Callithrix jacchus: one gene and its partners. The protein of the gene in region 1 interacts with the protein of each later gene in a biochemical or structural test. Links are inferred from orthologs where the notes say so. Each region holds a gene or a part of one and is shown on either strand. Other genes may lie near its edges.

The links. The genes of interacting proteins can lie anywhere in the genome.
Region 2: the proteins of NR0B2 (region 1) and EID1 form a complex in vitro, tested with the Homo sapiens proteins (3 studies listed by BioGRID). The link is inferred for Callithrix jacchus from reciprocal best matches to the Homo sapiens genes NR0B2 and EID1.
Region 3: the proteins of NR0B2 (region 1) and HNF4A form a complex in vitro, tested with the Homo sapiens proteins (4 studies listed by BioGRID). The link is inferred for Callithrix jacchus from reciprocal best matches to the Homo sapiens genes NR0B2 and HNF4A.

Annotation. Positions count from the first base shown.
Region 1 is NC_133508.1:63,563,360-63,570,933, reverse strand, and holds NR0B2 (nuclear receptor subfamily 0 group B member 2), read left to right. Parts: upstream 1-2,985; 5' UTR 2,986-3,022; coding exon 3,023-3,554; intron 3,555-5,290; coding exon 5,291-5,532; 3' UTR 5,533-5,858; downstream 5,859-7,574. UniProt on the Homo sapiens protein: Transcriptional regulator that acts as a negative regulator of receptor-dependent signaling pathways. Specifically inhibits transactivation of the nuclear receptor with which it interacts.
Region 2 is NC_133509.1:36,623,767-36,630,619, forward strand, and holds EID1 (EP300-interacting inhibitor of differentiation 1), read left to right. Parts: upstream 1-2,510; 5' UTR 2,511-2,595; coding exon 2,596-3,171; 3' UTR 3,172-4,242; downstream 4,243-6,853. UniProt on the Homo sapiens protein: Interacts with RB1 and EP300 and acts as a repressor of MYOD1 transactivation. Inhibits EP300 and CBP histone acetyltransferase activity.
Region 3 is NC_133506.1:39,747,580-39,755,163, forward strand, and holds the start of HNF4A (hepatocyte nuclear factor 4-alpha), read left to right. Parts: upstream 1-2,673; 5' UTR 2,674-2,809; coding exon 2,810-2,924; intron 2,925-7,584. UniProt on the Homo sapiens protein: Transcriptional regulator which controls the expression of hepatic genes during the transition of endodermal cells to hepatic progenitor cells, facilitating the recruitment of RNA pol II to the promoters of target genes. Activates the transcription of CYP2C38.

The DNA of each region.
Region 1 (7,574 bases):
CACCACACTGGCTAATGTTTTTTGGTAGAGATGAGGTCTCACTGTGTTGCCCAGGCTGGTGTTGAACTACTGAAACCTCAAGCGATCCTCTCACCTAACTTTCCAAAGTGCTGGGATTACAGGCGTGCGCCACCCCACCCAACTATGTATTATTTTCTCAAAGAGGGTCCTCCAAATCGTAAACTTCAGGCCTGATAAAACCAATATCCACCTCTAGACATGCTTGTCACCATTTTAAAAATAAGGAAACTGAGGCACAGAAAGATAAAGTGATTTTCCCAAGGTCACTCAGCTAAGTGAAGAAGCGGGATTTGGACCCAGCTAGCCTGATTCCAGAGTCTGCTTCAAGGGGACACTGTGAGGATTCAGTGAGATTAAAAGACATGAAAGGTGGTTTATAAATGTAAGGATTGGCCTGGCGCAGTGGCTCACGACTGTAATCCTACCACTTTGGGAGGATGAGGTGGGTGGATTACCTGAGGTCAAGAGTTTGAGACCAGCTTGGCCAACGTGGTAAAACCACGTGTCTCTACTAAAAAATATAAAAATTGGCCAGCCACAGTGGCTCATGCATATAATCTCAGCACTTTGGGAGGCTGAGGCAGGTGGATCACAAGATCAGGAGTTCGAAACCAGCCTAGCCAATATAGTGAAGCCCCGTCTCTACTAAAACTACAAAAAAGATTAGCTGGGCATGGTGGTGCATGCCTATAGTCCCAGCTGCTTGGGAGGCTGAGGTAGGAGAATCGCTTGAAACTGGGAGGCGGAGATTGCAGCGAGTGGAGATTGCAGTGAGCCAAGATCGCACGACTGCACTCCAGCCTTGGTGACAGAGCAAGACTTTGTCTAAAAAAATAAAATAAAATAAATGTAAGGAATAAGACTAATAATTAAATGAAAGAGGTGTGCCTGTTTGACCACTGGTGCTCAGCTCCAAACAGGAAAGGGGCAGAAAAATCCTCCTACCATATGTCAGAAACTACTTGGGATTTAACAGCTAGGACCTCATTTTGTCCCACGGCAGCCCTACAGGCAGGCATTCTTGTCCCATTGAGGCTCCTGTGGCGCAGAGGTTCGAGGATCAGCCCAAGTCACTCAACCGAAAAGTGATGGATCCTGGAGCAGATGCCAGGGCTGGTATCTTTTAGTGGTGATGCCAGAGCCTCTTTCTCCCCATCCAGCACAACAGGCTGCCCAACAGCATGGCAGCAGAAGGCTTGCCACACTGGAACTGGCCAAGGTCCAGGAACATGACACAACCGAGGGCCTCTCCACCCTCTCTCATCCCTTGTGCTCCACCTTCTGAGAAAAATGCCCGGGACAGAGGAGCCATGTGGCAGCAGAGCAACATATCCATCCAGATCACAAGTGGGCAACATCTGCAAAGCAGGCAGCAGCAAGGTGGGGCAGCTAGCCACCAGCTCTGGGAATCTCAGGCTCTGGCTGCGCAATTGGGCCAGTGGGTCCAGGGGAACAAACAAGGACTTTGGAGTCCGGCAAGATCTGGGCTTTGTCTCTTCCTGGTCGGATGACCTTGGGCAAGTCACTTAAACTCTTTTAGTCTCACAAAGTAAGAATCTAGCCTTAGGGGGAAGCTCCCAATATTAGAGTGGGAAGGACTTGACACATAATAGCTGCTCAGTGAATGGCAACCATATATATATATATATATATTTTTTTTTTTTTTTTTTTTTTTTTGAGACAGGGTCTTGCTCTGTCACCCAGGCTAGAGTGCAGTGTCATGATCTCAGTTCACTGCAGCCTCCGCCTCCCGGGTTTGAGTGATTCTTTTGCCTTAGCCTCTGGAGTAGCTGTGACTACAGGCACGAGCCTCCATGCCCAGCTAATTTTTGTATTTTTAGTAGAGACGGGATCCTGCCATGTTGGTCAGGCTGGTCTCAAACTCCTGACCTCAGGTGATCTGCCCACCCCAGCCTCTCAAAGTGCTGGGATTACAGGCATGAGCCACCATGTCCAGCCAGCTACCATCTTTAATTATAATTCTGTAAATTCTTCTCTGCAGATCTGCCCTTTCAGGAGTGGTAGGAATCAGGCCAGGTGCAGTGGCTCACGCCTGTAATCCCAGCACTTTGGGAGGCTGAGGTGGGTGGATCACCTGAGGTCGGAAGCTCCAGACCAGCCTGACCAACATGGAGAAACCCCATCTCTACTAAAAATACAAAAGATCAGCCAGGCGAGGTGGTGCATGCCTGTAATCCCAGCTACTCAGGAGGCTGAGGCAGGAGAATCGCTTGAACCCAGGAGGTGGAGGTTGCGGTGAGCCGAGATCGTGCCATTGCACTCCAGCCTGGGCAACAAGACCGAAACTCCGTCTCAAAAAAATATATAGGAGTGGTAGTAATCAGGTTGGGTATAGGGGTTCCTGCATGGGGCCCAGAACTGGAATCAGAGGAAGGGGGCCTCCTAGACTGGAAAGCGGGCAAAGTCCTCCCAGCCCCTCAGGGTCCTGGCTCCCTTCCCTGCAGCCTGCTCCTGGCCGACAACAGAAGCAGGGCCCCAAGGTTAGGCAAACAAGCTAGTGATAAGGGACTTCCAGGTTGGGCCTTGCATTCAAGGCTCACCCAGCTCTGGGGCTGGCTTCCTGGCTTAGTGAAAGCCCTGATCTTTTGTACACACAGGAGCGGCCACCAATGGGGACACCTGCTGATTGTGCACCTGGGGCCTTGGTGCCCTGGTACAGCCTGGGTTAATGACCTTGTTTATCCACTTGAGTCATCCGATAATCAGCAGCTGAGTGAGCGGCAGGTAGCCCTGTGCCCTGCACCGGCCACTTCATTGACTGAAATGATATCAGCGCCACGTGGGGTTCCCAAACCCCTCCCCCACCACTTCCCCACCAGTCCTGCCAGGGGCAGTGTCTGTGTGTTTTTTTCAATGAACATGACTTCTGGAGTCAAGGTTGTCAGGCCATTCCTCCTTTTCCACTCACTGGGAATATAAATAGCACCTACAGCACAGAACAGAGGATCAGAGAGCTGGAAGTAAGAGCAGATCCCCAACCATGAGCACCAGCCAGCCAGGGGCCTGCCCATGCCAGGGAGCTGCAAGCCGCCCAGCTATTCTCTACACACTTCTGAGCTCCAGCCTCAGGGCTGTCCCCCAGCCCCGTAGTAGCTGCCTGTGTAGGCAGCACCGGCCTGTCCAGCTATGTGCGCCTTATCGCACCTGCCGGGAGGCCTTGGATGTTCTGGCCAAGACAGTGGCCTTCCTCAGGAACCTGCCATCCTTCTGCCAGCTGCCTCCCCAGGACAAGCGGCAGCTGCTGCAGGGTGGCTGGGGCCCCCTCTTTCTGCTTGGGTTGGCCCAAGACGCTGTGACCTTTGAGGTGGCTGAGGCCCCGGTGCCCAGTATACTTAAGAAGATTCTGCTGGAGGATCCCAGCAGCAGTGGGGGCAGTGGCCAGCTGCCGGACAGACCCCAGCCCTCGCTGGCTGCCGTGCAGTGGCTTCAATGCTGTCTGGAATCCTTCTGGAGCCTGGAGCTGAGCCCCAAGGAATATGCCTGCCTAAAAGGGACCATCCTCTTCAACCCTGGTGAGCTCCCAGGCACTTCTGGGGTGGGGGACCAAGGCTGAAGCAGGGGCCAGCCAGGGAAGTAACTTTTAACTTCTAAGGATTTGATATTTGTTATCTCATTGGGTCCTCATTTCCTTCCTTCCTTCCTTCCTTCCTTCCTTCCTTCCTTCCTTCCTTCCTTCCTTCCTTCCTTCCTTCTTTCTTTTTCTGAGACAGAGTCTCACTCTGTTGCCCAGGCTGGAGTGCCGTGGCATGATCTTGGCTCACTGCAACCTCTGCCTCAGCCTCCTGAGTAGCTGGGATTTACAGGCGTCCACCACCATGCCTGGCTAATTTTTGTATTTTTTAGTTGATATGGGGTTTTGACATGTTGCTCAAGCTGGTCTTAAACTCCTGACCCCTCAGGTGATCTACCCGCCTCAGCCTCCCAAAGTGTTGGGATTACAGGTGTGAGCCACCCTACCTGGCTTGGTCCTCATTTTCATCAAATAGCCATCTCACAGAAGAGGCACAGAAAAGCTAAGTGACTAGCTGAAGGTTACACAGCCAGGTAGGGACAGACTAGGATGGCAACTCAGGTCTAGTCACTCCAGAGACTGGCCCTTGTCACTCTGCCTGAGAAACTTGCTCTAACCGTTTTTTGAGACAGAGTCTCACTCTGTTGCTCAGGCTGAAGTGCAGTGGACCAGTCTCAGCTCACCACAATCTCCACCTCCCAGGTTCAAGCAATTCTTCTGCCTCAGCCTCCCAAGTAGCTGGGATTACAGGCGTGCGCCACCAGACCCAGCTAATTTTGTATTTTTAGTAGAGACAGGGTTTCTCTATGTTGATCAGGCTGGTCTCAAACTCCCGACCTCAAGTGATTCGTCCACCTCGGTCTCCCAAAGTGCTGGGATTACAGGCGTGAGCCACCATGCCCAGCCAGAAGTCTGATTCTTAACCATTATTCCATGCTGCCTCTTCATAAATAAATGGATAACTAAAATGAAAATAAATAAATTACCTCCTCCACAGGAGGCAGTAAATCCTGCCCTGACCAGACCAGCCCCACCCCCTTCACCACCACAGTTTGGATTCTTCTCACAGGGGCCAAGTTAATTATTGCTCAAGAAGAGGCCATTCACTTGGGGATAATAGTCTAGGAGTTATCATTCAGGCCATTCTCTAAACCCCCCAGGTTAGAACTATAGCTGATTGGCCTTGTACCCATTATTGTGACCCAGTGCCAGCAGCAAGGGGAACCCTCTCCCTTACCCAGTCTCTCACTCACAAGTCAGACACCAGATAGAGACAGAAACACAGCTGAGACACAAATACAAACCACACAACTCGGACCCCCACCCCCACACACACTAAGATGTACAACTCAGGCACATGTACACGGACCCATGAAACAGACTCTCTATCTTAGAGAAGTCTGAGAGAAAGAAATAGAGAAAGAAATGATAACAAATACTTAGAAAAAGAAATGATAATGATGCTCTCTATAAAAAATACATATATATAAAATTAAAAATAAAATAATAAAAATTAAAAGACTCTCTATCCACCCACTCACAGCCCAGAAAAGCACTGCCTAGATACAGTCACTCAGCAATGTACTGCAGATCCTGACACATTCACACGACAGACCTCAAAGGCCGAGCAGAGGAGGCAGAGGGGTGTCTCTGATGGCTCAGATCTGGGGCCAGTCTTGTCCTTTGGTGGCTGGGAATAGGTTACTCACCAGTCCTCTTCTCCCTCTCTGCCCACAGATTTGCCAGGCCTCCACGCCTCCTCCCACATTGAGCACCTGCAGCAGGAGGCTCACTGGGCGCTATATGATGTCCTGGAGCCCTGGTGCCCAGCAGCCCAAGGCCGTCTGGCCCGTGTCCTCCTCATGGCCTCCACCCTCAAGTCCATTCCAACCAGCCTGCTTGAGGACCTCTTCTTTCGCCCTATCATTGGAGATGTTGACATCGCTGGCCTTCTTGGGGACATGCTTTTGCTGAGGTGACCTGCTCCAGCCCAGGCGGAGATCAGGAGGGCAGAGGCTGGTAGTGCTGATTCAGCCTGGACATCCCCAGAGGTGACCCAGTGCTCCTGGAGGGGGCAAGGCTGTATAGACAGCCAGCCACACCCCACATTGGACTTCCTTCATTTGGACACAGTGCTCCAGCTGCCTGGCAGGCTCTTGGTGGTCCCCACAGCTTCTGGGCCGAGACTCCTGTCCTTTCTTGGGATGGGAATGAAAGCTTAGGCTGCTCATTGGACCAGAAGTCCTACCAACTTTATACAGAACTGAATTAAGTTATTGATTTTTGTAATAAAAAGTATGAAGCACTTGCAGCCTGATACTGTTGTTTGTGCAGACAGAAGGGACTGTCTCACCTCCAGGGCCCACCCTGCCCCTATTAGAGGTAGCCAGTGGAAAAAAATCCACAGGGGTGCTAGAGCTAATCTTGCAGGGTGGTATGGTAATTTCGTTTCTGGAGATGAGATTTATTTGGCATCTGGGTCTGAGTCCGGGGAGCAGTATTCACAATCCCATCACCTCCTTGCCTTTATCCTCAGGAGAAGGTTACTCTCCTGTTCCCAAACCCTTCACTAACCCCTCCCCTGGCTCCCTCTCACCACAGTGAAAGCCCAGTCTCAGCCAATCAGGAAGCAGCCCATTCCCAAATTGAAACAGACAAGGTCACTGCAATTTTTGCAGTTTGAGATCATTCACTTCCCCCATTCCTGCAGATGACAAAAGAAGGTGGTCCATTATTCTCCCAACATGAAAGGACAAGGGTACCAGGGCTGGCCCAGCAACTGCTTGAGGGTCAAGGCAGACCAAGGTTTAGCTGGACCACCAGGGTATGGCTACATCAGTTGTTAAAGTCTGAAACCCTTCCAAGACACTTGGTTCATAGCCACTGCCCTGAGGCCACCCAAGTTTCCTTCCCTTCCCCTCTGCCCCACCCCTCTGGGATCCTCCTCCCAGACATTTCCACTGTCTAGCAATTAGAGAGGCAACTCTTTTTTTTTTTTTTTTTTTTAAGACCAAGTCTTGCTCTGTCGCCCAGGCTAGAGTGCAGTGGCATAATGTCAACTCATTGCAACCTCCACCCACCTGGTTCAAGCAATTCCCCTACCCCAACCTCCGGAGTAGCTGGCACTACAGGGGCACTCTATCACGTCTGGCTAGTTTTTTGTATTTTTAGTAGAGATGGGGTTTCACTGTGTTACCCAGTATGGTCTCGATCTCCTGACCTCATGATCCGCCTGCCTTGGCCTCCCAAAGTGCTGGGATTACAGATGTAAGCCATCACACCGGGCCTAGAGAGGCAACTCTTGGCACAGCCATGACCTCCTTGACTGCTCCATTCAGAGTATGACTTGTGTCTGTTCTGATTGGTCAATGTCTGTGTCTCAATGTTTGTTAAATATTTTGACCCAGTCTCAGGTCAGGGTGAGTAACCTGAAGGGTGGGCAGGAAGGAGTGATAACAACACACATGCCTATAGGATTTTCCGGCCTCCTCCTTTCACCGGCAGTAAGTCCTGCCCTGACCAGTCCCACCTGCTTCACCACCACAGTTTGGATTCTTCTTACAGGGGCCAAGTTAATTATTGCTCAAGAAGAGGCCATTCACTTGGGGATAACAGTCTAGGAGTCATCATTCTGGCCTTTCTCTAAGTCCCCCAGGTTAGGACTACAGCTGACTGGCCTTGTACCCATTATGGTGACCCAGTGCCACCAGCAAGGGGAACCCTGTCCCTTACCCAGCCTCTCATTCACAAGTCAGACACCAGATAGAGACAAAAACACAGCTGAGATCCCACACAAATACAAACAACACAACTGAGACCTCTGCTCCCACACACACTAAGATGTACAACTCAGGCACACATACACAGACCCATAAAATAGACTCTCCATCCACCCACTCACAGTCCAGAAAAGCACTGCCCAGATACAGTCACTCAGCAATGTACTGCAGACCCTGACATGTTCACACAGTAGAGGCACACACCCCTGCACCTGAGGGTAGGTCACACAGTGTGGAGACAC
Region 2 (6,853 bases), on another chromosome or scaffold:
GGTTGATGAGTCTACCAATGCCGACAACAAAGCAACATGCTTTTTTGTGTGTGATGTATTTTTCAAGAGGATGTGAATGAGGATATATTATACGCACTTTTGTTGCCAACCGGTACCACGGCTGCAGAACTATTCAAGTCTTTGAATGATTACGTATCATGAAATGGAATCAGTCATTTTGTGTTGGTATATGCACAGGTAGAGCAGCTGCCATGACTGGACGGCATTCTGGTTTCACTACTCATGTCAAAGAGGCCGCTTCTGAATGTGAGTCTATGCATTGTATTCCATGGAGAAATGCTGGCTAGCCGGAAAATGTCACCCGAACTTAACAAAGTTTTGCAGTATGTGATTAAAATTATCAACTACATTATACATGCCCTTAACTCAATCTGTTTGCGCAGCTCTGTGAGGAGATGCACGCCGAGCACATGCATCTTCTCTTATACACAGAAGTGACATGGCTTTCTAAATGTACATCACTGACTGGAGTTTTTGAGTTAAGAGAGCTGCTTCAGAGCCTTCTTTTGAGAAAAACAGTCCCACTAGCAGCACATTTCATGACATCAAATGGGTCACAAAACTTGCTTACTTGTATGGCATCGTCAACCTGCTCAATGAACTCTGTCACTTCAGGAAAGAATGACAACTGTGTTCAAGTTGGCAGATAAAATGGCTGCATTTGAAGCCAAACTGGAAACACGGAGGTGACAAATGAACACTGGGATTTCTGCCATCTCAAACATTAGCAGATTTTGAAAGAGACTGAGCCAGGACCTTCTTCTCCCAGCTGGTGCATGATTACCTATCTCAGCTTTCAAAAGAGTTTGAACATTACTTCCTGTATTAGTCAGGGTTCTTTAAGGGGACAGAACTAATAGAATAGATATATACATGTATATAAAGAAGAGTTTATTAAGTATTAGCTTACACTATCATAAGGTCCCACAATAGGGACTGCAGGCTGAGGAGTGAGGAGAGCCAGTCTGAGTTCCAAAACTAAAGAACTTGGAGTCTGAGGTTCGAGGGCAGGAAGCATCCAGCATGGGAGAAAGATGTAGGCTGGGAGGCTAGGCCAGTCTCTCTTTTCACATTTTTCTGGCTGCTTATATTCTAACCAAGCTGATTAGATTGTGCCCACCCAGCTTAAGGGTGGGTCCGCATTTCCCAGCCCACTGACTCAAATGTTTACCCTCCTTTGGAAACACCCTCACAGACACACCAAGGATCAATACCTAGTATCCTTCAATCCAATCAAGTTGAATTTCAGTATTAACCATCACACTTCCCATTCACAAAAGACAGAATGGATCTGTGACCCTTTTGCGAATAATCCAGGTGAATCCACTTTGTCATGCTAGAAGAGGATCAACTGCTTGATATTGAAAATGACAGAGGCCTTAAAAGTATGTTTGAGACTTCAAATCTCTATACGTTCGATTTTTTTTTTTTCTTTTTGGTATCAGGATGACGCTGGCCTCATTCTATATGTTCTCATTTAAGTCAAGGAGGAATATCCTGAGATTGCCACAAAATTACTGAAAAGCCTGCTTCCATTTCCAACATTCTATCTTTGTGAGGCAGGGTTTTCTGCAGTAGCAGCAACCAAAACGAGATTACAGAATAGACTGGACATAAGCAACACACCTCGGGTGTCACTGTGTCTCATCACTCTCAGATGGGACTGTCCAGTTGCAGGAAAAGAAGCTCAGGGCTCGCACTGATTCTACATTATGGGGAGTTGTATAATTATTTCATTATATACTCCAATGTAATAATAATAGAAATAAAGAGAATAAACGAAATGTGCTTGAATCATGTTAGTATACATAGTCCTATAATTCATAGAGGTATACACAAAAGATTCAGCTTTTAAGTTGAAGATAGGTAAGACATGTTTTTAAAAAACACACAAAATAGTATTTTTTTCTATGAATACATAAAGATACATGTAAACGCAAATAAAAAGAATTTAAAGAATACACACCGCATTGATAATAGCGGAAAGATACCTTTCAGGAGAAAAGAAATGGAACCAAATATTTCTTCAGGCTAACTTAAAAAAAAAGTACAACGTTTCTGTTGTTTGTGAATACAACTATTGTAATGACAACACTAAAACGGCAGAATGAATTAGTTCTTAATATGCTGATCTGTGGTTATGGATGTTGTCTGATTTGGAGATGTAGATTTAGAAGTCATCAGCACATAGATAAACTGCCCAAAGGAGGAGGAAGAAAGGAGGGGAGAAGCATCAGGTGTTAAAAAAGCCACGTTAGGTTATTTAACAGTTTGCAGCATCACGAGCAGCAGGATGGTTAAGTAACACAGAAACTGTAATGCTTTTGCAAGCAGGATCCCTAGTTACGAAGCTCTAATAGGTGGAAACCCAGCTCAAAAGCGACGCTAACACCCGGGGAAAAACATTGACTGCCTCCAATCGCAGTGGAGCGCCAAGTAGGAGGCGGTACCTGACGACTACGCCTGCGCGAGTGGTTACGCAAGCTCACAGACTTTGCGCACGCGCACAGGCGCACGACCGCGCAGTTTCTATCTTGCTGAAAGCTTTTTCCGAGAGGTTGAGCGGTTTGCACAATGTCGGAAATGGCCGAGCTGTCTGAGCTGTATGAGGAGAACAGTGACCTGCAGATGGATGTGATGCCTGGCGAGGGTGACCTTCCGCAGATGGAGGTAGGCAGCGGGAGCCGGGAGCTATCCTTGCGTCCCTCCCGCAACCGGGCCCCGCCACAGCTAGAGGAGGAAGGCCCAATGGAGGAGGAGGCGGCCCAGCCAATGGCGGCGCCAGAGGGGAAGCGGAGCCTTGCTAACGGGCCCAACGCTGGGGAGCAGCCAGGCCAGGTGGCGGGCGCAGACTTCGAGAGCGAAGACGAGGGCGAGGAATTTGATGACTGGGAGGACGACTACGACTATCCGGAAGAGGAGCAGCTTAGTGGTGCCGGCTACCGAGTATCAGCAGCTCTCGAAGAAGCCAACAAGATGTTTCTGAGAACAACCAGAGCAAGAGAAGCAGCCCTGGATGGCGGGTTTCAGATGCATTATGAGAAGACCCCGTTTGATCAGTTAGCTTTCATCGAAGAGCTTTTTTCACTGATGGTTGTCAATCGTCTGACCGAAGAACTCGGCTGTGATGAGATTATTGATAGAGAGTAGTTACATGCTGTTAAAAGAGGAGGAAACTACTTGAGGAGGGACCCAACTTTCCGGTATCTTTTGGGTTCATTCCAAATAGTTCTGTGCCATTGAAAAACTTGACCTTCAAAAAAATGTGTTTTTCAGAATAGAAGACAATAGGATAGTGACTGTACAGTTGTGAAAAAAGAAGAGAATCATTAAAGAAAAAATGATGTTTAGACTGTTGAAGTCTGTTCTCAAGAATGTCCTAAAACACCAATGGCTTTGACTTTGTTATTGATCCAGATTATTTTCCTTGCATTGGGGAAAATATCTTTCATATTTGTTTTGCTGTAAAGATGGTTTTGCAAGAATAAGTCATGACCAAGACAAACCAAGACAAGAGCCCACTGATACTGATTATATGAGAAAAAAATGTATCCAACTAGGACACATATCTTTTGAGTTATTTGGACTGAAAGCTTAAGAAAACTTGGAAAATTCTATTTTGTGATCTGTTCAAGCCATAGTTATCAAAGGCTAAATTTTCAGTGTAAGATAAATGGAGTAGTCTTCATTATCCCAAAAGGATGAGCAAACTCAAATATATATCACGTGCTATATGTCTTAAGATGTGTTTCCAAAAGCATTTGAAATTTTGTTTGTACACGTATCTTGATCATTTATAAAGCCACTGTGATCTATAAATCAAGAAAATCCATTGTCAAGACCATTTTTAAAAGTCAAAAATTAAGACATCCTTAATTTAAAAGTTTCAAATCTAGACATTGTGTGTGAATGTACAAAGAAAAACCATTTCTAACGCTGTTATATACTAGAGAAATTTTGTTTTGCTTGCTGTTTTGACTTGACGGGTGAAAGACTTTAGTTGAACTTCATATTGTAAGAACTGTTAATAAAAGTTGTCAAGTAAAAAGCCCTATATCTAAAAAGACTTTATGAACAGTTATTCTATCAACTCTTAAAGGTTTTAAACCTGCCCAAAAATTACCTTGTAATCTGAAGTTTCCCTCCCTCTGTCTCCTCCTCTTAAGCTTGTTATTTGTTATGCACCAGCATTGGAGATAATAAAATTTCTTGTTCTGTGTATTTTGTTTGGTTGATCGTATTGCATACATACTTTCTCTGTATACTACTTTTTATTGTATGTATTATTGCAACCACTTGATTTAAACTTAATTAGTATTAAGGGAAAATGATCCAGCTTAAGATATCTAATTCACAAATTTGTTTCTGGAAATTAAATTTTGTAAATTAAGTTTTTACCTATAAGAATTTGCTGGTCTAGGAAAACCTGCCCTGTCAATGAGTATGTTGCTGTGGTTATCTTACTAAGATGCTGAAGTTTTAGGAGTGTAATTACATCAGAAGGCTATGCTCAGCAAAATGAGTTTATCAGCAGGTTTTATGATCAGTAAAAAGATTCCAGATGCTTCTGCTCCATTGTAGCAGTAAAGAACATATATCCAATGCAACAGGACCACTCAGAGCCTAATTTATTTTACGGTCATCTGTCTTTTGGGGAGAGGGATCTGTAAAAGATAGGAGTGTGACAAGGATGATCAAAATTGCTCAGACATTAGCTGAGTTGGGAGGGAGAGATGGTGGAAGTAAAATGTTGGTGCTTAAATTTCTTAATCCTACGATCTCTTCCACTGCTTTCTCAGCCTGTAGCAGCAGTCAGATGAGTGTAGCCAGATAATTAATTGCATGCATGATGTAAATTATCATGGGTGGGGGTATGCTAGTGCACAATAAAGTGGCTGCTTGTATTTACCTCCAGATCTTTTTCTTTACCAGGAAAATTTACCTTTACTAGGAAAGATAAACTCTTGAAAAAAAATCTGAGGTCTACTAACTAGAAGGTTGTGATTCTGTTTGTCTCTGGAACTGAGTAGGGCGCAAGAGGTGGGGTAGGAAACTCCCTGTTGCATCCGAAGGCTAATGTTGGGGAGAAAAACCTGGGCTCTGCAATTGACTCAGTTGTTTTTCTCTCTTAAAAATAGGCAGTAACCTGAGAGACAATGAAAATTGTAAGTACTTACTTGTATTTATAGAGAATAAAAAAGAGAGAGAGAGAGGGAGGGAGGAGTGTGTGAGTCATCTAAGGGAACTAGAGAAAGGAGTTCTGCAGAAATTCGAACTGGTTTTGCAATATAGGGAATTTAAAGAAGCTTTTGAGTATGCAGTGTGATTAGGGAGTTTTCCAAATTTATCCATATGTATTATAAATGTTCAGTTAAATCAGATATCCCATGTTGGCTGTCTTCAGGCCACAGATCTATTTTGATTGGTTCATGCTTATAATTTTAAGAGACCGCCATCTCAGTACAGAGATACCAGCTAAAAATCTGGATTTTTACCATTTTATTTTGAGATGGAGTCTTGCTTTGTTGCCCAGGCTGGAGTGCAGTAGCTCAATCTCAGCTTATTGCAACCGCCACCTCCCAGGTTCAAGCAATTCTGCTCAGCCTCCTGAGTAGCTGGGATTACAGGCTAGAGCCACCACACCTGGCCTCTTACTAGTTTTTAAAGTAAAGCATCTGGGAGCCTTTGACCACTAGACCTACATAGCAAAAAAAAAAAAAATCTGATTCACCTTTAGACAAGGAAGGTATTCTGTTTGCCAAGTCCCCTGGTGTTGTCTCCCCAACATAGAGGCCAGGTAGCATTTTGACATCTATCATTGGGCCTGCATCATCGTTTCTTTTTTTGTGCTTGCACAGTTTGCATTACCTACCTGGCTTCTAAATATTTGAACTTGCCTCTCCTTACAGAGACTAAAGGATGTCTCAATTTTCTGCCTGTTTTACCTTAACTCTATTACCCTTCTGAATTCAGTACCTGTTAGAGTTGTAGAAATGAGTAAAGAATTATTGAGAGTTTGAGCTGCTGAGACTCTGATATTTTTGCTTGAGACCCTAAAATACAATATTAAAGTATGTCAGTAAAGTATGTTGCTTGAATTTTAAAACAAGGAAATGCATAAAACCCTTGCAAAATTGTAATTTCCCATCCTGAAATATGGTAATGTTTTAAAATTGTAAGCATTGCATGTTTAGTATTTTCTGCCTCTGGAGGTTTATAAAATAGTTTCTGGGAGTGAATGGTTATATTCTTGATGTTCTTAGTGACCAAAGATAAGTGTGAACTATCTGATCCATAAATGCTGTCATCTATGAATATATCCATAAACTTGAACCTGTTTGTTTTCAGTCCAAAGTATATCTTAGAAGTTAAGTGGGGGTGGGGAAGGCATTAGTATTTCTTTGTATTTATTTTAGAACTTCCAGGGGTAGCATTAAGGATTTAATCCTTTTCTTGTGCTGTATCCACAAGGTCTCTCATCTTTGCTGCCTTCATTTCTTAAACATTTTAATTGCCTTTCTCATGAGACATAAAGCTTCTTGAGTTGAGGCCTCTACAGTGGCACATCTTTTCCCCATACCCCCCAGCTATTTCTCCTAGGCCTGCAGAAAAGCTCAAAATAGCTATTCAAAATCACCCCTCAGGTCTGAGATAAATGAGATCTTAACTTTGGTCCCTATTCCAGCAGTGGGCTGAATACAACCCCATTCCATGCCACCAGTGCAGAAAAGATGTGGATTACTCTCAAAGGCCTATCATAGTACTATTGTTATTGGTAATGAAAACCACCCGTTATCCTCACCTCTGTTTTGCCTGAAAGATTATGGGTGGG
Region 3 (7,584 bases), on another chromosome or scaffold:
TGACATGCCATTGATCACATACCCCCACTTTTTTTGTTGTTGTTGAGACAAAGTTTCGCTCTTGTTGCCCATGCTGGAGTGCAATGGCTCTATCTCGGCTCGCCGCAACCTCCGCCTCCCAGGTTCAAGTGATTCTCTTGCCTCAGCCTCCTGAGTCACTGGGATTATAGGCATGGGTCACCACGCCTAATTTTGTATTTTTAGTAGAGATGGGGTTTCTCCATGTTGGTCAGACTGGTTTCAAACTCCTGACCTCAGGTGATCTGCCTGCCTCGGCCTCCCAAACTGCTGAGATTACAGGCATGAGCCACCACACCCAGCCTCACATTTCTCTTTAAGCAATGTGGAAGTGTGCCTCAGAGTGGATGAGGCCATGTATTACTGGGTTGTGTGGGCAGTAGCTCTGCCTGTGGCCTGCCATAGGTGCCAGGCAGGTGGCAGGGACCTGGGCTGGGCTCCTGGAGGCTCCTCCCGGAGCTGCCCTCCACTTCTCTTCTGTGTTGATCCCTTAGTCAGATCTTCCCTTTCTGCCCACTGCTGCACTTCCCCCAAGGCCGGTGGAGCCAGATCAGATATTCCTGAGGTAGGCATGGGAGAAACCCACCAGCATTTGGTCTCTTTCAGCCCCTTATAAAATCTCAAAGTGTGGGTTGTTGGGGCTCCTCTTGCTCCCTCCCTCAAAGCCTTCTCCTGGCCAGTAGAAAACTAAGCCAGGGTCATCTTTCCATTTTACAGAGGGAGAAATTGAGGCCCTGAGAAGAGATAGATGTAAATAAATCTATTGGAATAGTGACTGAGCTAGTTCCTAAACCCAGGTCTCCTGGCACCAAATCTAGCCTCTCTTCTCCTCCAGAACAGTTGCTCCCTCTCCCCTTTCCCTGTAGGAAACAGCACACAGCCCCCTACATCATTTCAGCTTCAGAGGTCAAATCAAGTGGGGAGAATAAAGCCAAGCAGGGCAGAGAAAGGGCTTCCAGCAGTGGGAAGAATGGAGAGGATGCCTCCTCATACCTGTCAAACACACATGCCCTGACTCCCGATTTGCTAACTGATTAATTCACCCATACATTCAATCATTCATTCACTCACTAATTCACCCACTCATTAATTCACCTACCCATTTGCTCATTCACTCATTCATTCACCCACCGATTCACTCATTCACATACTCAGTAATTTACTCTCATTCATTCATTCACTCACTCAATTCATGTATTCACTCAACTTACTCATTAATTCACCTTGTCTCGAATTCACTCGCTTCTAATTCATCCACTCATTAATTTCCCAACCCCCCACTCACTCATTAACTGGTGCTCTCACTCATTCACTCACTCTTGCTCACAGGTGTCACCGAGTCCCTCCAACCTGCCCTTGCAGCCAGTAGCAGAGGACAGGCTCCCAGGTCTCAGGCATTCCTTCCTCTGCCCTCTACATCGAGACTTTACTTCCAGGTAGATTAGCAGCTCTTGAAAGTGTCTGCACAGAATGCAATGAGGGCTGGAGGAATGAGAAGAACAGAGTGTACCATGAGCTTCGACAGGCAGGACCAGCTGTGTAATTTGCAGGACCTCGTCCAAAACAAAAATCAAACCCCTTGTTCAAAAGTGATGATGAATTTTCAGACAACCACAGCAGAGCACCAAACCCGGCACCAGGACTCTCTAAGGGTTGGGCTGCCTGTGACTGCTCTGGCGATCCCCCCACAAAGCCCACTTTGAAGATAGGAGGCAGGTGGAGAGAAACAGAGGGATGGAAAGGGGGATACAGAACAGGGAGAGGGAGGAGGAAGAGGATGGATGTCTGCCAGGTCCCACTTGGTGTTTTTTATGCCGTCTCATTTCTTTCTCAAACCACTCTTTGAGGTTGATTGTACATTTTACAGAGAAGGAAACTGAGGCTCAGAGAGGAGAATCATTTACCCAAGGTCCCACTTAGCAGATGGTAGATGCCTGAATGTAAATCCAGGTCTCTCTCTGCTCTGGGAGGGGGTGAGAGTGAGGGAAACAGGAGAACATGAAGGGAAAATCTGAGATGGAGTCTGTCTGGGCCAGAAACTCCAGGAGCTGTGGGAGATGGTGGGGCACAGGGTGGGGTCCTAGGGAGCAGGATTGGGGAATTGGAGGTGAGTCTGGCCCTCCCAGCCTTCCAGTCCATTCTGCTCCCAGGAAACTGCAGGGGAACTGAAGGGAGCTCCCAGAACAAGGATCCAGAAGATTGACATCTGAGGCCTGGGATTTAGGTTTCTAAATCATGGGCCATGGGGCAGCCTTATCTCTACAAGAGCATTGAGGGTAGAAGTCAATGATTTGGGAAGTTATTGAATGAGGGGATCTCGGAGGGAGGCTGTCAGTGCCTGATAGTATCAGTTAGAATGTCCGACTTAGGATGACAATGGCTTGGAGGGGCGGCTGAGTCAAGGGTCAAATGAGTGACCGTGAGTTACGATGCCTGCCTTGTACAATTGATAACTGAGTATCGGTGAGTTAGGGCCCCAACAGTTGTAATTAGCACTCCGGGTGTCAGCCAGAAACCAACAAACAGCCAAATCCCTGCAGCCCCGCCCAGCCTATTTACCGGCGGGGGACCGATTAACCATTAACCCCCACCCCTCCCTGGCAGAGCCTCCACCCCTCCGCAGAGGCTAGGCCTAGACTCCCAGCAGATCTTCCCAGAGGACGGTTTGAAAGAAAGGCAGAGAGGGCACTGGGAGGAGGCAGTGGGAGGGCGGAGGGCGGGGGCTGGGGCTCAGCCTTCGGGGTGGGCGCCCAGGGCAGGGCAGGTGGCTGTGGCGTGGAGGCAGGGGAGAATGCGCCTCTCCAAAACCCTCGTCGACATGGACATGGCCGACTACAGTGCTGCACTGGACCCAGCCTACACAACCCTGGAATTTGAGAATGTGCAGGTGTTGACGATGGGCAATGGTAGGTGGGGGCAGGTGTGCCCAGGTGTGCCAGTGGGGCAGGTATGCCTGGGTACAGGAGCGAATCTTTGGTACTCAACTTTGGGGTGGGAGGAGAATGATAGAAAATAGTAGGTTGGTCCTACAGGCTAGCACAGGTATTGCCAGGTGAAGCCGGTGTGCCCAGGTACAGTGATCACAGGCATTCCGGGTGAAGGGAGGCCTGCAAGGGCCAATTTCCAGCAGAAGTCAACCCCAGCTGTTCCTCCCAGGCCCTTCCGGTCCCCACTGTCTTGCAGCGGCTCTGCTTGGAGTTTGGCACACTGACGTGATGGTGAGGTCCCTTTCGGTGCCCAGCTCCAGCAATTCAGCCTGGCACAGCCCCTTCTTGAACCCCTCAGGCCTAGGTTCAGAGAGATGGCAAGGGGCATTGTGTCCCTGGAGGATGGTGGTTGGAGACATATATCTGCATTTCTCGGTGTCTTTGGGACTTCCCTAGGGGAATTGGCACTTAGGGAAAATGGGGTTCTCAGGGAAGTTTTGCTAACTAAAATCCAGCTCAGCACTGTGTGTGTTGTGTTGTGTGTGTGTTCGTGTGTGATCATGAGTTTCCGTGTAAGTTGTATGGGTGGGGTGATGCCTCCAGGAACACATTTGCATATGTGTGTTCATTTGTCTCTGTGTGTGAGTTCTGTGCCTATTTCCCTTTGTATTTATTGAGTGGGTCTGTGTTTGTGTCTCTAGGAGGTGCCCGTGTCGATCTTGCTTGTGCATGTAAGTGACTGGGTGTACGTGTGTCTGTGGATGTTTGTATATGTGTGCTGTGTGGGGGTCATACAGGACATGTGTTTGTGCATGCAGACCTGTTGGAGTGCTGTTCTTCCTGCATGCTTATCCTGTGTGGGCGTTTTGTCGTGTGCCCATATTTGTACCTGCTGTGTGCATATGCAGCCCCCTGTACCTCAGGTGAGGTCAGCGGTCTCTAGTGTGCATGAATGCCAGACCCAAGTGCAGGATTCTGTTGTTGCCGTTCACCAAGTGAGCTTCACATCAGCAACGTGTCTGTTAATCTCTGAGCAGATTTTGTTGCCGGCGTGTCTCTCCAGATTCATGTTTCCACTCTGACATCACTGGAGCATATCTGGAGGGATGGGCCGTTCTCCTCCACAGGGAGGTAGGGGAAAGGAGGGTGTCTGGAAACCCCTCCTGGAGGGAAGGGCCCCATCAGGTCCCAGGCCAGCCTCAGAGGAGAGGGGGCAGGCAGCTAGCTGAGGTCAGCCTGCCACCCCTCTTCCTTCTGTGTCTTGGAGCCACACAGCCAGTATCAGCCTGCAGTTCCCGCTGAGGCCTGGAAGCTTGTGGTCAGCTTTGCTAGAGTGAGGAGGCAGCTGCTGGGCACTGCCTGTGGTCAGCTCAGCAAGTGTTCGACTGCCCCTGCAGTCCAGTTACTGTGTGACCTTGGGCATGTCACCTCCCCTCTCCTGGCTTCTGTATCTTCTACAAAACAGGCTTCATTCCCCCAGGCCTGGTGGCTGGCCAGTTGTTTAGCCCTGTCTGAGGACCACTCGAGGAGCTCAAGGCGAAAATGCCCTGGAGATGCTAAACAAGTTGCTGCCACACGAGGCAGAGTGCAGTGTGTCCCCAGGAGGGTCACTGCCCTACCCTGGCTGCTCCCCGCCCCCATCACTTTTTCAAAGCCTGGGAACTGTGTGCTCCTGAGGCAGAGGCCAAGCCCCTGAACTGGGTGCCCCAAAGACAAGACCACCTCCAGCTCTGGAACCAGAAAGATCTGGACTCAAATCAGGCATGGATCCTTCCAACCTGTGTGAACGTGGCAAGGCAGTTTCCTCTCTGAGTCTCAGTTTCCTCATCTATAAGATGGGAAGCCGTAATAGTGTCTGTCTGCCAGGGCTGGCCAGAGGATAAAGATAAGGTGCCTGGGTGCTGACCCTGGTAAAGGGTCCTGGCCCCAACATGGGTCATCTCAAGGGCTCTGAGCATCTTAAGCAGGGTCCCCAGTATTCCTTGCTGGAGTTTGAAGTGTTCTGAATTGGGGTTATGTGACGTTGTCCTCCAAAGTGTTTTGGGTACATCCTGGGCTAGTAGTTCAAATGTTCAAAGGATATTTCTCCCCATCCACTCCCTACCCCAATGCAGCAGCAGCCCCGGGGCTCCTTGTTCATTAGAGGCCCCAGCAGACACCTCAACACATGTGGCTCTGGCTGGAGTAGCCCAGCACACCTGGACCATAAGCCCATGCCTCGGCTTCACTGCAAGCAGTGTGACACCAGGAAGCCACTTGTCCTCTCTAAGTCTCAGTGTCCTCATCTGTGGAATGGAGGTGCTCGGCTGACCTCAGAGGGGAGTTGATAGAGCTGACAGCCCCCAGCCCATTCTGTCCCTGAGGTGGGCGCTCCTTCCCCAGCCTCCTGCTGAACAGCCAGGAGCTGTGGGGTCAGCTCTCCCTGGGGTCGGGGGAGGAGAGGCTGAGGGAGAAAGGGCACCCATGCGGCTTAACAATTATCGCCATCTCCAGGAATAATTCACCAAGTGGAGGGGGGCCGCACTCCTGGGGACACCCGGGAGTCTGCGATGGCAGAAATGAGACGCACCAGTGCCTGCTTGTGCACGGAGCCTGGAAGTCCTCTGCTCTGAGAGTTTTCTTCTGCAGAAAAGTTTTTATTTCACAAACACTAATATAGTGCTTACCATGTGGTAAGCACTTCACATACACATATGAGAATTCACCAAATCCCCATAACAAACCTGGGAGAATGTCATGTTTCCCATTTTACAAGTGAGGATACAAAGGCATAGAGAAGTAAATGAACACAGCCAACGTCACATGGCTAAAAAGTGGGCAGGCTGGGATTGAACCCTGGGCAGAAGGCCTTCAGGGGCTATGCTGTTACCTACAGCGCGTGGCCCTCTCCAGGTCTTAACTGGATGACCCTGAGGAATACAAGGTCCGATTTAGGATTTCTATGAATACACGTGTGTGTGTGTGTGTGTGTGTGTGCATGTGTGTATGTGTCTGTGCATAGGTGTGCATGTGCGTATATGTGTGTGGAGTATGTGCATGTATGTATATGTGTGTACATGTGTTGATATGTGTATGTTGTATGTTCATGTGTGTGCTGTGTGTGCATGTGTAGACTGTGTCTGTGTGCACGTGTGTACATGTGTGTGAATGTGTATGTTCATGTGTGTGTGGACTGTATGGGTGTGTGCATGTGTATGGTTGTGTGTGGACTCTGTGGTGTGTGTGTGGTATGTGGTGTGTGTCTTCATGTGTGTGAACTGTGGTATATGTACCTGTGTGTGTGTGCGCATATGTGCACCTGTGTGTGTGCATGTGCATGTGGACTCTATGGTGTGTGGTTGTGTGTGGACTGTGTAGTGTATGTGGACTGTGGTGTATGTTCGTGTGCGTGTGTGTATGTGACTGTGGTGTGTGTCTGTGAGCATATGTGTGGATTGTGTGGTGCATGTGTGTGTGGACTGTGTGATGTATGTGGACTGTGGTATGTGTTTGTGTGTGTGCACGTGTATGTGACTGTGTGGTGTGTGTGTGTGTGTGCATGTGTATGTGACTGTGTGGTGTGTGTGTGTGTGCATATGTGTGGACTGTGGTGTGTGTGTGTGGACTGTGGTGTATGTGGACTGTAGTGTTTGTGTGCGTGCATGTGTATGTGACTGTGGCGTGTGTCTGTGTGCATGTGTGTGGACTGTATGGTGTGTGTGTGTTTGTGTGTGGCATGTGTGTATGTGGCGTGTGTGTGGACTGTGGTGTGTGTTCGTGTGTGTACGTGCATGTGTATGTGAGTGTGTGGTGTGTGTCTGTGTGCATGTGTGTGGACTGTATGGTGTGTGTGTGTGCTTGTGTGTGGCATGTGTGGCACACACACTTGCATTTTCCCAGGGGCTGACCCATTGCATTTGTTATCTTCTCCAAAGGGGTCTATCTTTGGTGAAAGATTTGCTGACAAAACGGGGGTTCAGCTGCTATTTTTTTAATTTTGGAAACAGACCAGTCAAACTGCTCCCTTTTATGGTTAGAGAAACTGAGGCCTAGAAGAAATTGAAGCAAGGAGAAGTTGCCCAAGTTTACAGGCAAGTTAGTGGCAGCATCAGCACTAGTGCCCAGGAGTCCTGGAACCCAGCCCGAGATCCTCTTTGCCACCTGCCTCTATGGCCCCCCTCACATTTGTGTAGATGCAGTAGCTTTTACCTGGGAGATGAGAGGGACGGGAGCCATGTCCAGACCCTCCCAGGAGGCCACATGAGTGACTGTTCTTGGCCCAAGTCTTTCCTGTTCCCCAGAGAATTTGCGGGGCCCCTGGGCACGCAGCTGAGATCCACCCAGCCTTAGTGGTCACTGGGTGAGAACTGAGGGACAGGACCTGGTTCTGGGGAGAATGTTTCTCCCTTCCGCAGCCCCCTCCCCAGTTAGGAGCAGGCTCTCACCCTGGAAGGTGGCCAGATTTTCATGCCTGCCTAGAGACAGCTGGGGCTCGTGGCCTCCACCACAGGGAGATGCACACCCTCAGAATCAGCTCTGTGAAGTCACCACCAGCCCCAATTTACAGATGTGAAACTGAAGCTCCAAAAGTCAGGAGGTCACTAAGCAGGGAGGCGATGGAGTGGGAACAGCCCCCTGATATGGCTGAGGCCGAAGCCCT